Stegostoma tigrinum: one gene and its partner. The protein of the gene in region 1 interacts with the protein of each later gene in a pairwise test. Links are inferred from orthologs where the notes say so. Each region holds a gene or a part of one and is shown on either strand. Other genes may lie near its edges.

Region 1 (6,977 bases):
GCTGGAGGTTGCTTTTCAGATTGGAGGCCTGTGAACAGCAGTGTGCCATAAGATTTGGTGCTGGTTCCACTGCTTTTTGTCATCTATATAAATAATTTGGATGTGAACATAGGAGAGTGGTTAGTAAGTTTGCACGTGACACCAAAATTGGAGGTGTAGTGGACAGCGGAGAAGGATACTTCAGAGTACAATAGGATCTTGCTCAGATGGGCCAGTGGGCCAAGGAGCAGCAGATGGAGTTTAATTTCGACAAATGCAAGGTGCTGCATTTTGAAAAGGCAAATCAGGGCAAGACCTATCTACAACGGTAAGGTTCTGGGGAGTGCTGCTGAACAAAGAGACCTTGGAGTGCAGGTTCATATGTTATTCCTTTGAAAGTGAAGTTCCACATAAACAGGATAGTGAAAAACGCATTTGGTTTGCTTGCCTTTATTGGTCACTGCATTGAGTACAGGAGTTGGGAGGTCTTGTTGCAGCTGCAGTGGGCATTGGTTAAGCCACTATTAGAATATTGCACGGCCTCCCTGCTAAAGAAAGGATGTTGTGAGACTTGAAATGGTTCAAAACAGATTTACAAGGATGTTGCCAGGGTTGGAGAGTTTTGAGCCATAGAGGAAGACTGAATAGGCTGATATTATTTCCCCTGGAGCAGAGGGTGAGGGGTGACCTTTTAGAGGTTTGTAAAGTCATGAGGCACATGGATAGGCTGAATAGACAAGTTCTTTTCCCCCGAGTTGTGGGAGTACAAAACTAGTAGCCATAGGTTTAAACTGAGAGGGGAAAGATTCAGAAGTGACCTAAGGAGTGGCGTTTTTATGAAGAAGAGTGTGTTGCATGTATGGAATGAGCTGCCAGTGGAAGTGGCAGAGGCTGGTATAATTACAATAATTTAAGAAACATCTGGATGCATATATGAATTAGGGGGATGTGGGACAATTGCTGGCAAACGGGACTAGATTTATTATGGGTATCTGGTCGGCATGGAGGAGTTAGGCTGAGCATACAGCTCTATGACTAACTGCAACTGTTGATTCAGCCTGATGAAATCACAATCTTTCCACAAAGCCTCTTCAAAGATCTCAATTTTAGACATACAAAATACATACAATATCTTCTCCAGAGTCAGCTCCTATTGAAGTAATGGAGTCTCTGCTGACCGATCTTGGAATCCGTGCCGTACCAGGACGTGAGGTGTTGCCTGCCTCTTCAGCAATCTTCTTTTTCAGTTTTGCAAACATGGTTCTTCAGCTATATTTTTCAGAGGTGTTCCAAACCACCAAACTGTTTAAGGTTATCTGAAGTCTCAGATGAGTTTGGAAGAGAGACAGTGGATGTGCTTTAGAAAACAATGTACTCTGTTTGGCTCCTAGCTGCTCCTTAATAAGGCTCACTTTTTATATCTACTGCAAAAACCGTCCATTGCATCACCTGTCAGCAAAATAAAGTACATTAGATCAAGAAAATAACATTTCTACTGGTTCTCAACTGCAATCATAATATGTCAGAAATGATGTTTTAAAAAAAAAACTTTGTTTCATTATTCTATACAGCTTGGGTTTCACAACTGAAGTCCACTGCAATTCTCCTGTATACCCACATTTCTTTGTTTCCTACCCTAAATTCTACTTTAGAAGACCTGGCAGCCAACATACAAATATGTAACCACTAAGAAAGGGAAATGGGAAGAAAATTAAGTAAACATTTCAAAATTGTTCCATCCAACCCAAGTTCAAGCACAAAAACGGGCACCGGGTGTTTGCACGCGGGCTCAGTGCCAATACTATGAGAAAAGAGTATTTTGCGTCGCGCTTACATTGGACCAAACTGCAGAAAAGATTAATTAAAGTTTAATGACATGATACCAGTTTTTGTGCTACTTCTTTGATGCCAGAATTGTCACATTCTATTTCCCCAAGGACTGTTGGTAAATTCCATTCTTCAAGAATTCTGACAAGACCATGTTTTGCCTATGAACAAGACTATTCAATGTGCTGTTTCATTTTCCTTAACAATACAGCATTTTGTTTCTGCTACTTTTTCCAGAAGTTATGGTCACCTAATCTTTGGGATTCAAAACTACTTCTAATCAACTAATCACAGTATTATTCAAAGTTTCTTTCCTGTAAGAAAATATGACTCAAAAGGAATCAAACAAATGGACTGGAGCCAGTTCAGGTGAATAAATTCCAAATGGATTAGTCAGACTTTATAAATTTCTCATGATTCAGGAACAATGTCCTTGGGTGATCCATTATTTAAGGCACAGGAGGGACAACCTAGGTAGCAACACGTCTGTTAGTTTAACATCATTTATGGGGAATTTACTGGGAGAAATCGTGAAACAGAAAGAATAAATCTTTGAAACAAAACAGAAATTGCTGAAAAAGCTCAGCGGGTCTGGCAACATCTGTGAAGAAAAAAAAAATCAGAGTTAACGTTTCGGGGTCCCGTGGTCTTTCCTCAGAACGGATCTTCACAGATGCTACCAGACCTGCTGCGCTTTTCCAGCAATTTCTGTTTTGTTTCGGAACAGCAGCTGACAGCTTCTTGAGTGACAGTTTACGGGACCAGTCGGAAAGCGCGTCCATCCCTGTCGAGGGACAGAACAGCCAACCCACCAATCAGCAGCTCGTCAATAAGGTGGGCTCGGCAGCAGGTTTTAGTTCACCAAAGGAGGGCGAGCGGCCGAGCGTCCGCCGATACGGCCAACTTGGGTCATCACTCATGGTTCACTAAGCAATCAACTACCCACTGAAAGCTTCTGCTCGGCCGGATCTGTTATAAATAGCAGGTCACTTCCGAGAAGTTCGACACGAAATTGCCGATAACGGTAGGAACCATAAACTCCGGAGAGCGAGGACACCCGAGCAGGCACTTTCTCATGGCGACCAAGTACCTGAGTGTGTGTTAGCAGCAAGGCTCTATACACTACTGCTCCATCCTGTTGTCGGCCTTTCTCACCTCCGCTCAGCCGACGTGGCCGCAACGTCATCAAGTTCCCAGCGGCTTTCCTTCAGTCCAATCAGATTGAACGTTAGATCGGGGACTTGTGCCATTGTACCCATTCGCTGATGTATTGGGACTGCTGATTGGACCGTAGCCAAGCCCACCAAAACAAATCCCCGTCAGCAGCAGTGGGGGAGGCGCCGACGACGCCAACAACAGTATCGACCTGATCAAGAGTGAACTAGTGAGACAGTGCTGCTCCAAGAGTCTCGGAGGACTCGAATTCAACATCAACGGGCCCCAGATTTCCCTTCAACACAGCGTGTCAATTCTCCCAGACGTTACATCTTCTTGTCACTGCTGCAAGGAACCCGAGTGAAAAAGCACTAGGATTTTTTAAAACAAATTCACACACCACACATGAAGTAGGAAACTGAAACTGCACTCGAGATAAAACACGGAAGTGAGGCTGCTGATTGTGGGGCATGTGGACTTGATGGGCTGAATAGCCTGCTTCTCCTTTGCAAGATGGAATATTGCCCTCTTAATTTAGGGATATAGGCCTTAGGGTATGATCAGCTACGATCTCATTAAAATAGCAGATAGGCTCGAGAGACGTCCTGTTCCTAATTCAATCGCAAGCTGCCAGCAGAACTGAATCAAGGCAGTTGATAGTCTAATAGTACCGATGTCTCAAAGGTCTGAGGAAGAGTCATCTAGACTGGAAACCTGGGAACCCTGCAGCCCAATGGTATCAATGTGGACTTCACCAGCTTCAAAATCTCCCCTTCCCCCACCGCATCCCTAAACCAGCCCAGTTCGTCCCCTCCCCCCACTGCACCACACAACCAGCCCAGCTCTTCCCCTCCACCCACTGCATCCCAAAACCAGTCCAGCCTGTCTCTGCCTCCCTAACCTGTTCTTCCTCTCACCTATCCCTTCCTCCCACCCCAAGCCGCACCTCCATCTCCTACCTACTAACCTCATCCCACATCCTTGACCTGTCCGTCTTCCCTGGACTGACCTATCCCCTCCCTACCTCCCAACCTATACTCCCCTCCCCACCTATCTTCTTTTCTCTCCATCTTCAGTCCGCCTCCCCCTCTCTCCCTATTTATTCCAGAACCCTCACCCCATCCCCCTCTCTGATGAAGGGTCTAGGCCCGAAACGTCAGCTTTTGTGCTCCTGAGATGCTGCTGGGCCTGCTGTGTTCACCAGAACCCTCACCCCATCCCCCTCTCTGATGAAGGGTCTAGGCCCGAAACGTCAGCTTTTGTGCTCCTGAGATGCTGCTGGGCCTGCTGTGTTCATCCAGCCTCACATTTCATTATCCTGGAAACCTTAGATTACTTTCTCTGCATGGTTGCTGCCTGAACCAATGTGATCTCCAGCATTTTTTTTGTACAGATTCCAGTATTTGCAGTAATTTGCTCCTATATAGTCTCACAGTTGTTTGTTTAGAGTCTTTTAACAGACCCTTTTTTTGTCTTTCTAGCTGGTTAGAATTATAGAAGTCAGAACTTGAAGTAAGCTGTTTTGCCACTATTTGTATGCTACTGGCCACCAAATATTGGAAAGGAGAAAATTCAGAAATTACTGACATACCATAATAGTAGTGAGGAGTTGCATTAATAACAATATGAAGGACAGAGAAGCTAGGTGAGGAATTTCCAAAATAGCTTCAAGATATCTATCAATGTGTGTCCAACACAACAGGGAAGGAAGCACTGCTGGAAGTATTTCTAGGGAATGAAGTTGGATAAGTGGAGCATATTTCAATGATATAGCATTTAGAGATGTTTGAAGGGGTATTGAAGGATAAATGTCCTACCTGGATGAAAATGTAAGCAGAAACTAATTGAAATTAAGATTGAAGTCCAAAAGTGAGATGGAGGAATATGGTTATGAAAGAAGTATTGCAGATTGAATTGTAGCAACATGACTTTAAATTACTCTAACAAGTCATTAGTTTTCTGAAATTATTAGATTATCAGCATTGGGAAAATGATGACTGTAATATGTAGTAGAACGTCAGTTAAGTGTCCAAGGTGCTGTGTTGCACTGAAAGCTATCCAAGCAATCAAGTGACTTATCCAGGTAATTACAGCTTATAAAGGAGCATTCTTGAAGTAGTAATCTGCAGATTACTCCCACTGCAATCTACCAAGTGACTACAGAAATAGGAAGAGAAGAGATATGAATGTGTGGCCAGAACAATGGCGTTGTAAGGACAGCTTCAGATTCCTGGGACACTGGAACAGGCTCTGGAGAAAGTACACCTGCACAAACCAGATGGGTTGTACCTCAACAGAATCAGAGTTCCTTGCAGGACATTTTGCAAGTGTTGTTGAAGAACTTTTAAACTAATTCAGTAGAGATGTGGGAACGGGAAGAGAACATTAAAAAGTAATCTATGGGTGCATAAAATGCTGGTGGGAAGGTAATATCAGAATGGTAAATTAATAAAATCATAGAATTTTTAGTACAGAAGGACTTTAACTCGTGTCTGTACTGGTTCATGAGACATAGCAGCAGAAATTAGGCCATTCGGCCCATCAAGTTTGCTCTGCCATTCAATCATAGCTGATAAATTCCTCAACCCCATTCTCCTTTCTCCCCTTAACCCTTGATAATCAATAACCTATCTATCTCAGTGTTACATGTACTCAATGACTTGGCCTCCACAGCCTTCTGTGACAGCGAATTCGTGATTCACCACTCTCTGGGTGAAGAAGTTTCTCCTTACGTCTGTCCTATTCCCTTTATTCGAAGGCTGTGCACTCGAGTCCTAGTCTCTCCTATTAATGGAAGCATCTTCCCAACATCCAGGCCATTCAGTATTCTGTAAGTTTCAGTTACATCCCCCCTCATCCTTCTAAACTCCAATGAATATAGTCCCAGAGTCCTCAAACGTTCCTCATATATTAAGTTTTTCATTCCTGGTACCATTCTTGTGAACCTCCACTGAACCCACTCCAGGGCCAGTACATCCCTCCTGAGATATGGTGCCCAAAACTGCACATAATAGTCCAAACGTGGCCTGACCAAAGCCTTATAAAGCCTCAATAGTACATCCCTCCTTTTATATTCAAGTCCTCTCAAAATAAATGCCAACATTGCATTTGCTTCCTGACTACTGACTCAACGAGCTCCTCAGCATGTTGCATTCCCTTGTCCTATCCCTGCATCCCTCTAATTCACCACTTTCAATGACATATCCACCTCATTTGAAACTTATACAACCTTCTCCATCTCTCTTCCAGGCAACACATTCCAAACGCTAACAATTATGAGTAAAGAAATTTCTCTTCATCTCACTTCGAGCTCTCTTGCTATAGACTTGAAATTGTGACCCCCCTAGTTACAGGCATACAAATAGTAGAAATGGAATATTGTTCTTTTACTGTCAAAGTTGTTTATAACTTTGAACACTGCAATAAGGTTACTTCTTAATCTTCTCTGTTCCAAGGAGAATTAGGCCAATTTCTCTCATTTTTCTTATATCTAAGATCACTCATTCTTTGGATCTTCCTAGTAAATAGTAATTCTAATTGTTGAAGTTAGAATAAGGGAAAAAGGAATGATGCCTAAAATCAAGGTTATAATGCATGCATATGAATGCATGAAATAAAGTTTAAAAGACTGAAGAATTATAGACACAGACTGTCTTGTGAGATTATCATGTTGTGCCAATAACGGAGACTTGGCTCAAGGAAAGAAAATCGTGGTGTTAAATATTCCTGATTAAAAAGTATACAGAAAAAAAAGTAAAAGAAAAGGGTCAGAGATAATGGAAACTGCAGATGCTGGAGATTCCAAGATAATAAAATGTGAGGCTGGATGAACACAGCAGGCCAAGCAGCATCTCAGGAGCACAAAAGCTGACGTTTCGGGCCTAGATTAAGCAGCAGAACTGGAGAAAAAGTTGTTTCAGATCATTCAAAACCAGAATCAATTTGACTAGAGCTAAGGAACAAAAGGGGTGCAATTCTATTGCTTGAGATAATTTATTGACCATCAATTCGTGGGA
Region 2 (7,165 bases), on another chromosome or scaffold:
TTAAACCAGCAAGGCTGCACCAACACCTGATGACTTTCTAAAAGTGAAAAAAACTTTTGCCTGTATGAGGTCCCTCTATTCCTTACGCATTCATGTATCTGTAAAAATGCTTCTTAAGCATTGCAATTGTATTCATTTCTGCCATTTCCCATGGCAGTGCATTTCAGGCACTCACCACCCTATGTATAAAAGCCTTGCCTTTCATATCTCCTTCAAATCTTCCCACTTTTACCTTAAACCTAGGTTCTCTCGTAATGGACATTTCTACCCTGGAGATAAAAGACTCGGACTATCCATTGTATCCATGCTTTGCAAAATTTTGTGAGCTTCTATCGAGCTTTTCCAATCTCACCACGTAGCCAATATCCTCTAAATCAGGAAACATCCTGTTAAATCATTTCTGTACCCTCTCCAAAGCCTTCACATCCTTCTTGTAGTGTGGCAACCAGAACGGTACTCAATATTCCATATGTGGCCTAAATAAACTTCTATGCAGCTGCAATATAATTTGCAATTTTTATACTCTCTGCCCCAAACAATGAAGGCAAGCATGCCACATGCCTTCCTTACCACCTTCTTTAATCCTTCTCCTTATCAACTTGTTTTTCCACTTTCAGAGAACTATGGACCTGCATATGTAGAGCCCCCAAAGGGATCTCCCATTTACTGTATACTTCCCTGATTCATTAGATCTTCCAACATTCATCATGTCTAATTTTTTTGGACTTAACTCATCTGCCATTTCTCTGCTAAGTCTCCAGCCTATGTATATCCTGCTATATTCTCTAGCAATTGTCCTCACTATCTGCAGCTCCTGTAATTTTTGTGTCATCCGCAAGCTTATTAAGTAGGCCACCTATATTCTCCTCTAAACCATTTATACATATATATTGCTAATAACAGGGAGTCTCAGCATTGATCCCCGTGGAACACCACTGGTCACAGATCTCCAATCAGAAAAACACCCTTCCACTGCTACTCTGTATCTTCTTTGGCTACGTTAGTTCTGTATCCAACTTTCTACTTACTGTGGATCCCATATGACTTCATCATATTTTGTATCAGCCTGCATGAGGGACCTTGTCAAAGGCCTTGCTAAAGTCCATATAGACAACATATATGCCCTCATCAATAATCTTTGTCTCTTCCTCAAAAACTCAATCATTTTCATGAAACACAACCTGTCTCACACAGAGCCAATTGCCTAGCACTAATATGTTCATATTTTTCCAAACGTGAGTAAATCTGGTCCCTAAGAATCTTCTCCAATAATTCCCCTACCACTGACATAAGGCTCACCAGCCTATAGTTCCTGGATTATCCCTATTATTCTTCTTAAACAAAGGAACAACAATAGCTATTCTCCAGCCCCCGAGGACCTCACCTGTGAATAAAGAGGATACAAAGATTTTGGACAAGGTACCAGCAATTTCCTCGCCTGTTTCCCTCAGCATTTTGGAATAGATTCCATCAGATCTTTGGGATTTGTCAACCATAATTGTTTTCAAAACACCCAACTCCTTTTTTATATTGACATGTCGAGACAATCAACATACCCCTCTCAAGATTCTCCATCCACCATGTCCTTCTCCTATGTGAATACTGAGGTAACATATCCGTACATAAATTCCCTGCATTATCCTTCAGTGGATCTATTCTTTCCCTCTTGCTCCTTATGTATGTATAACATGTCTTGGAATTTTCCTTAATCATGTTTGCCAAAGACATTTCATATTCCCTTTAACCCTCCTAAATCCTTGTTTCTTTTCTGCTTTCTTTATATTCTTTAAGGGCCCTGTCTGTCTTCGGTTTCCTAAACTTTATGTATGCCTCAAATTTCTTTTTGACTAAGCCATCAATTTTTCTTGCCATCCAACATTCTGAATCCTGCCATCCTTATTCACAGGAATATGCTGGTCCTGAACTCTAATCAACTTGCCTTTAAAAGATTCCCATGTAAAGATGTGGATTTATTCTCAAACAGCTGCCCCCAATCTATATTCCCTACTTCTTTCCTAATATTGTGGTGGTTAGCCTGCCCCCAGTTTAGTACTTTCATCCAAGGATTCCTCTTATCCATATCCATAAGTAGCTTAAAACCTCTAGAATTATGGTCACTGTTCCCAAAATGCTTCCCCAATAAAACATGGATCAACTGGCCAGGCTCACTCCCCAATACCAGGTCTAATACGACCTCTTCCTTAGTTGGACTATTTACATGTGACGTCAAAAAATCCTTTTGGACACATCTAACGAACTAACACCCCCACCCACATCCCATCCAAATCCCTGGCACTAATACAGTCCCAGTAAATATATGGAAATTAAAGTCACCCACCACAATAACCAAATGGTTTCTTTATTTTTCCATAACCTGTCCACATATCTGTTCCTCTATCACCCGCTGGCTGTTGTGAGGCCTGCAGTACAACTCCATCAAAACGATTGTACCCTCCCTATTCCTGATCTCTACACATGAGGCCTTACTGGATGAGTCCTCCAAGGTGCCCTCTCTCAGTACAGCTGTGGTATTCTCCCTTATCAAATAATGCAACTCCCCATCTTTTTTACATCCTTCTTTAATTTACCTGAAACATCTAAATCTAAATGTTTATTTCAATCTTCAGAATATTTTTGATGACATCTCATTCAAGATGTCAAATAAAAATGCGTGGGATTGGAGGTTTTGTTCTGGCACAGATAGAGAACCTCAGCTACTCACAATTTATGTTAATAATTAAGGTGAGAGAACTAAATGTAAATAAAAACCCAAAGTACTGCAGACACTGGAAATCAGAAACAAAACCAGAGATCGTTGGAAAGCTAAGCTTGTCTGGCAGCATCTGTGGAGAGGAATCAGAGTTAACACTTTGGGCCCGGTGACCATTCCTCAGAGCTAAATGTAGCATCACTAAGTTTGCAGATAGCATAATGCTGAGTGGGTGGGTGAGCAATGATGAGGATGCAGAGGAGCTTGAGTATGATTCCTAGAACCAAGTGAAAATTTGGACAATCCAAATCAGAAATGAGAAGTGAATACATTGCTCAAAGACTGGCGTGGGATAAGACTGTTCTAGTTCATGGACACTAGCACCTGCAGTGAGGACAGTGGGATCTATACCAATGGGACAGTCTCCATGTGAACTGTGTTGGGGCCTGTGTTCTTACCAACCATATAACTGGAGAAATACAGAGGCTTTTAAACCAAATAATGGAGGCAAATATTCAAATTTGGAAACTGTGTTAAATCAAAGAATAAAGGCCAAAGAGAAAGATATTATACTGGAAAGTTAAACCAATTATGACAGACAAAGATAGAATACAAATTTAAAACTCAACCAACAGATATGACTAGAAATTACAAAGAGTAAAAGGATAAAGCTGAAGGCTCTGTATCTAAATGCCCAAAGTATTTGATAATACCGCGAGGCAATGCCCTAGTGGTACTACTGCTGGACTGTTAATCCAGAGACCCAGACAATGTTCTAGGGCCCAGGTTTGAATCCCACTTCAGCAGATGGTGGAATTTGAATTCAATAAATGTCTGCAGTTAAGAATCCAATGATAACCATGAACCCATTATTGATTGTCAGAAAAAATGATCTGGTTCACTATTATCCTTTAGGGAAGGAAATTGCCATCCTTACCTGGTCTGGTCTACATATGACTCCAGACCCACAGCAGTTGTTGAGTGGTTGACTCTCAACTGCCCTTTAGGCAATTAGAGATGGGCAATAAATGCTGCCTGGCCAGCAATGCCCTCATCCCATAAATGAATAAAGAAGAAAAAAATGAACCTAGAGTACAAATATAAATGAATAAGAATGATCTGGTAGCCATTACGATGACAAAACTACAGGAAAGAAAAATTAGGAACTGAATTTTGAAGAATACAAGATATTATGAATAACAGGAGACTGAGAAAATGTGGAAGGGTAGCTCTGTTAGCTAACAGTTATTTTGATACAAAAGAGAGGAACAACCTAAAAATCAGGAAACTGTGGAAAAAGTTTAGGTAAAAATGAGACATGATAATAGCAAGAAGTCACAAGCCCACGAACATTAACTACATGTTAGGGCAGAGCATAAAGAAAGGAATAATGAGAACTTAACAGACAGCCCAGTGATAATTATGGGAGAGTTTATTGTATATATTAGCTAGATGAATCAAGTAGGCAAAGGTAAGTTTGATAAAGAGTTCATAGAGTATTTTTGGAAATACGTTTTTTCTTAGAACAGCATTGGAACAAAAAAAATGGAATAGGAGTAGGCCATTCAGCCCTTTGAACCTTCTCCACCATTCAATGCAATCATGGTTGATCATCCAACTGAATTGCCTGCTCCCACTTTTCCCCGCATATCCTCTGATCACTTTAGCCCAAAGTGTTTAATCCAACTCCTTCAAAATACAATATTTTGGCCTCAACTGCTTTCTGTGGTAGCAAATTCACCACTCTATGAGTGGTATTCTGAGGCCAAATATAGAGCAAACATTGGTAGATCTGATATGTGTAATGTGATAGGATTAATTAGTGATTACATAGTGGAGGCAGCCCTAGGTAGCAGAAACCATTATATAGTTGAACTTAACATTCAGTTTGAGGGAGGAGAGCAGGCACAAGGTCATTTTTTTTAAATTGAATAGGTGAAATTGTGAGGGCATGACAGCACAGTAAGAGGTTAAAGAACACGTCAATAACAATGCAATGGCAGATGTTTAACAGAATATCTCAGAGTATGCAGAATAAATACATTACAACATGTGACAAAAATTTCAAGCGATAGGAAAAGCATCAATTTTTAACCAGAAATGTTAAAGATGCCGTCAAACTAAACGAATAAGCCCATCAATGTCAAAGACAGGTGGCAGGCCAGAAGTTGGATGAAATTGTAGCTGCCTCTGGGCTGCTAAAACACAACTAGATTGTGTTAACTTGGCCACACTCCAAGAGGTGGCTGGGTACATTGGCCAAGTAAAACTCTGAAATCATGAAACCCACACACCAGACACATTGCAAACGCAGCAGCCAAATGCTAATGACATTAGAACGATGTGAAAGGCAGCAGTTACTGTGGACAGAATCACCCCCAATAATGTATTCTCTAAACAAAGGAGAGCACAGTCAGAAAAGCACTGGGTCCTGTTACACAAAGAAACTAACAGTAGCATGCCATCTAAATGATGGACTCTTGTTTCAACCTATTACATGTACCTCCTTGATTGGCCAGAAACGTGGAAAGTTACAGAAAACCATCCAAATGGCATAAAAACAGTGTTCACCTGCAGCCCTCTCTCTTGGGACTCTCTTGAATCCTATGAGGCTTTACGAGGAGAACAGCATGGCAAGAGGCAGAGACCAACTGACCATCCAGACGGAGAGGTGAAGAAAACGACTTCACAGAGACAGAGGCGCAGAGAGAGTGACTATATAAATTTACAATGACTCAGGAAGTATTGGAACCTTAAGCGGCCAAAAAAGATTAGGGATAGTATACTTAGTATTAAAGATTATTATAATTTTGTTCCTAATAATGTGGAACTATTTTGCTTTGGTACCAGCTTGTGTTCATATTGATTTGACCACCTTGGTATTGTGGGACACCTGGGCAAATTCGCTCACAACATTCTGGTCGGAGTTGCCTGTAACTTGTTTAAAGAGTAACCAGACAACATTTGGCATCCCCTGTTAAGAGACTTTGGTTTGAAGTGACCCTAAGGGTCTTCCACACCTGAACTGTCAACCTTGTCTGGTGTCTTTCATGGTCAGCCTGAGCTGGTTGTTAAGAGGTCAGTTGCCCCACCTAAAGGACAAGATGTAAGTTGAACTTGTGAGACACTGGCACTGATCACAACTGAACCATAACCAGTGACCTTAGACTGTGACAGGCAAAGCACGAGCCAGGTGTTCTACAGCCAGAGTGAGCAAAGCATGAGCTGGAAAAGGGTAGCAGTGCATAGAGGGACTGCAGGAGGCAGGGTGGGGAGAGGGGAGCAGGCATTTACCTCTTGTGTAGAAACCTTACAGACATTTTGGACTCCTTGAAAGAATCAGGGAGCTTTATTTTATTTCTTTTCAGTTCCAGTGAGTAGAAGGAAATTTCCTGTGAATTTCAAATCCGTGTTGCCCCTGTCCTGGGAGTGTTCTATGGAGCAGAGCTGAGGAGGTTTGATTTTTAGTTTATTTTGAGTTTGAATGAATAGAGGAAAGTTTACTTTGTATTTTGATCCAATGTTGCCCCAACAGTATTTGTTGGGGACAGAGTCAGGGAAAAGTCATTCTTTATTTAGACTTGAAGGAACTTTATTTTGAGTTCAAGAGAGCTGAGGGATCTTTGAGTTCCAAACAGTCAAAGAAACTTCAATTTTGCATTTAAAAGAAGTAGAGACATAGGCAGCCATTGACATGTCTACATGCTTCACTAGCCCAGTCAAAATAACTGCTGAGTGTTTGAAAAGTATCTGGAACAAGTAGTCAGAGATTGTGTTGGGGACCGAGGAATAGGTATAATACACAGGTTTAAGAAACTACAGTCAGGCCACAAGAAATGGCTAAAGACCTAACTCTGAGTTTTGTAGTTCTAGTTGTACATATCTAAACATTTTGAGAGGTTGCAACAAGAATTTAGCTGAAGCTTTACCCCAACTACAACTATTTCCCATAACTTAATAACATATTAAGAGAAATCCAGTAGAGGACCTATCAATAATATGCTTGCTAGCAAAATGGGACAAGTCTCCCCTCATCCAACATGGGAGGACACTCTCAGACAACACCTTTGTAAAAATTGGCCCAAATGGACAGAATTCTGTAGCAGCCTAAATTGCCCCTGGACCACAGGGTCCATGGCCCAAGGCTTAAGGCAATAAACACATAACAAGTTAGGAAAGAAGGCTATTAAGATAAGCACAGCAATTGCAATAGCATGTAGCCTAAAAGACTCTCAAAAACTGGACGAGATTAGATTGCTGCAAGAGTGATTAAAAATCATTGCTGATAACTTGAAAAAGTTAAAACTTGTCATTAAAGAGCAGAGCGCCAGAATACAGGAAAATCTGATGCAGCTGGGACAGTAGCAGTCACAAGTGGAAAGAGCCCATTCTAGTGACAGGAGAGCCACTAAGGACTGGGAGGTAGCCTCAGCATACATTGACAACTGGTAAAAC

Evidence for each region. The genes of interacting proteins can lie anywhere in the genome.
Region 2: the proteins of golga1 (region 1) and phosducin-like protein 2 interact in a two-hybrid assay, tested with the Homo sapiens proteins (2 studies listed by BioGRID). The two-hybrid records come from large-scale screens. The link is inferred for Stegostoma tigrinum from reciprocal best matches to the Homo sapiens genes GOLGA1 and PDCL2.

The regions. Positions count from the first base shown.
Region 1 is NC_081382.1:26,349,048-26,356,024, forward strand, and holds the start of golga1 (golgin subfamily A member 1), read right to left. Parts: upstream 3,029-6,977; 5' UTR 2,897-3,028; intron 2,808-2,896; exon of another isoform or gene 2,619-2,807; intron 1,429-2,618; 5' UTR 1,239-1,428; coding exon 1,107-1,238; intron 1-1,106. UniProt on the Homo sapiens protein: Involved in vesicular trafficking at the Golgi apparatus level. Involved in endosome-to-Golgi trafficking. Mechanistically, captures transport vesicles arriving from endosomes via the protein TBC1D23.
Region 2 is NC_081354.1:108,850,349-108,857,513, reverse strand, and holds the start of phosducin-like protein 2, read left to right. Parts: upstream 1-4,162; coding exon 4,163-4,181; intron 4,182-7,165. UniProt on the Homo sapiens protein: Essential for male fertility, spermiogenesis and acrosome formation.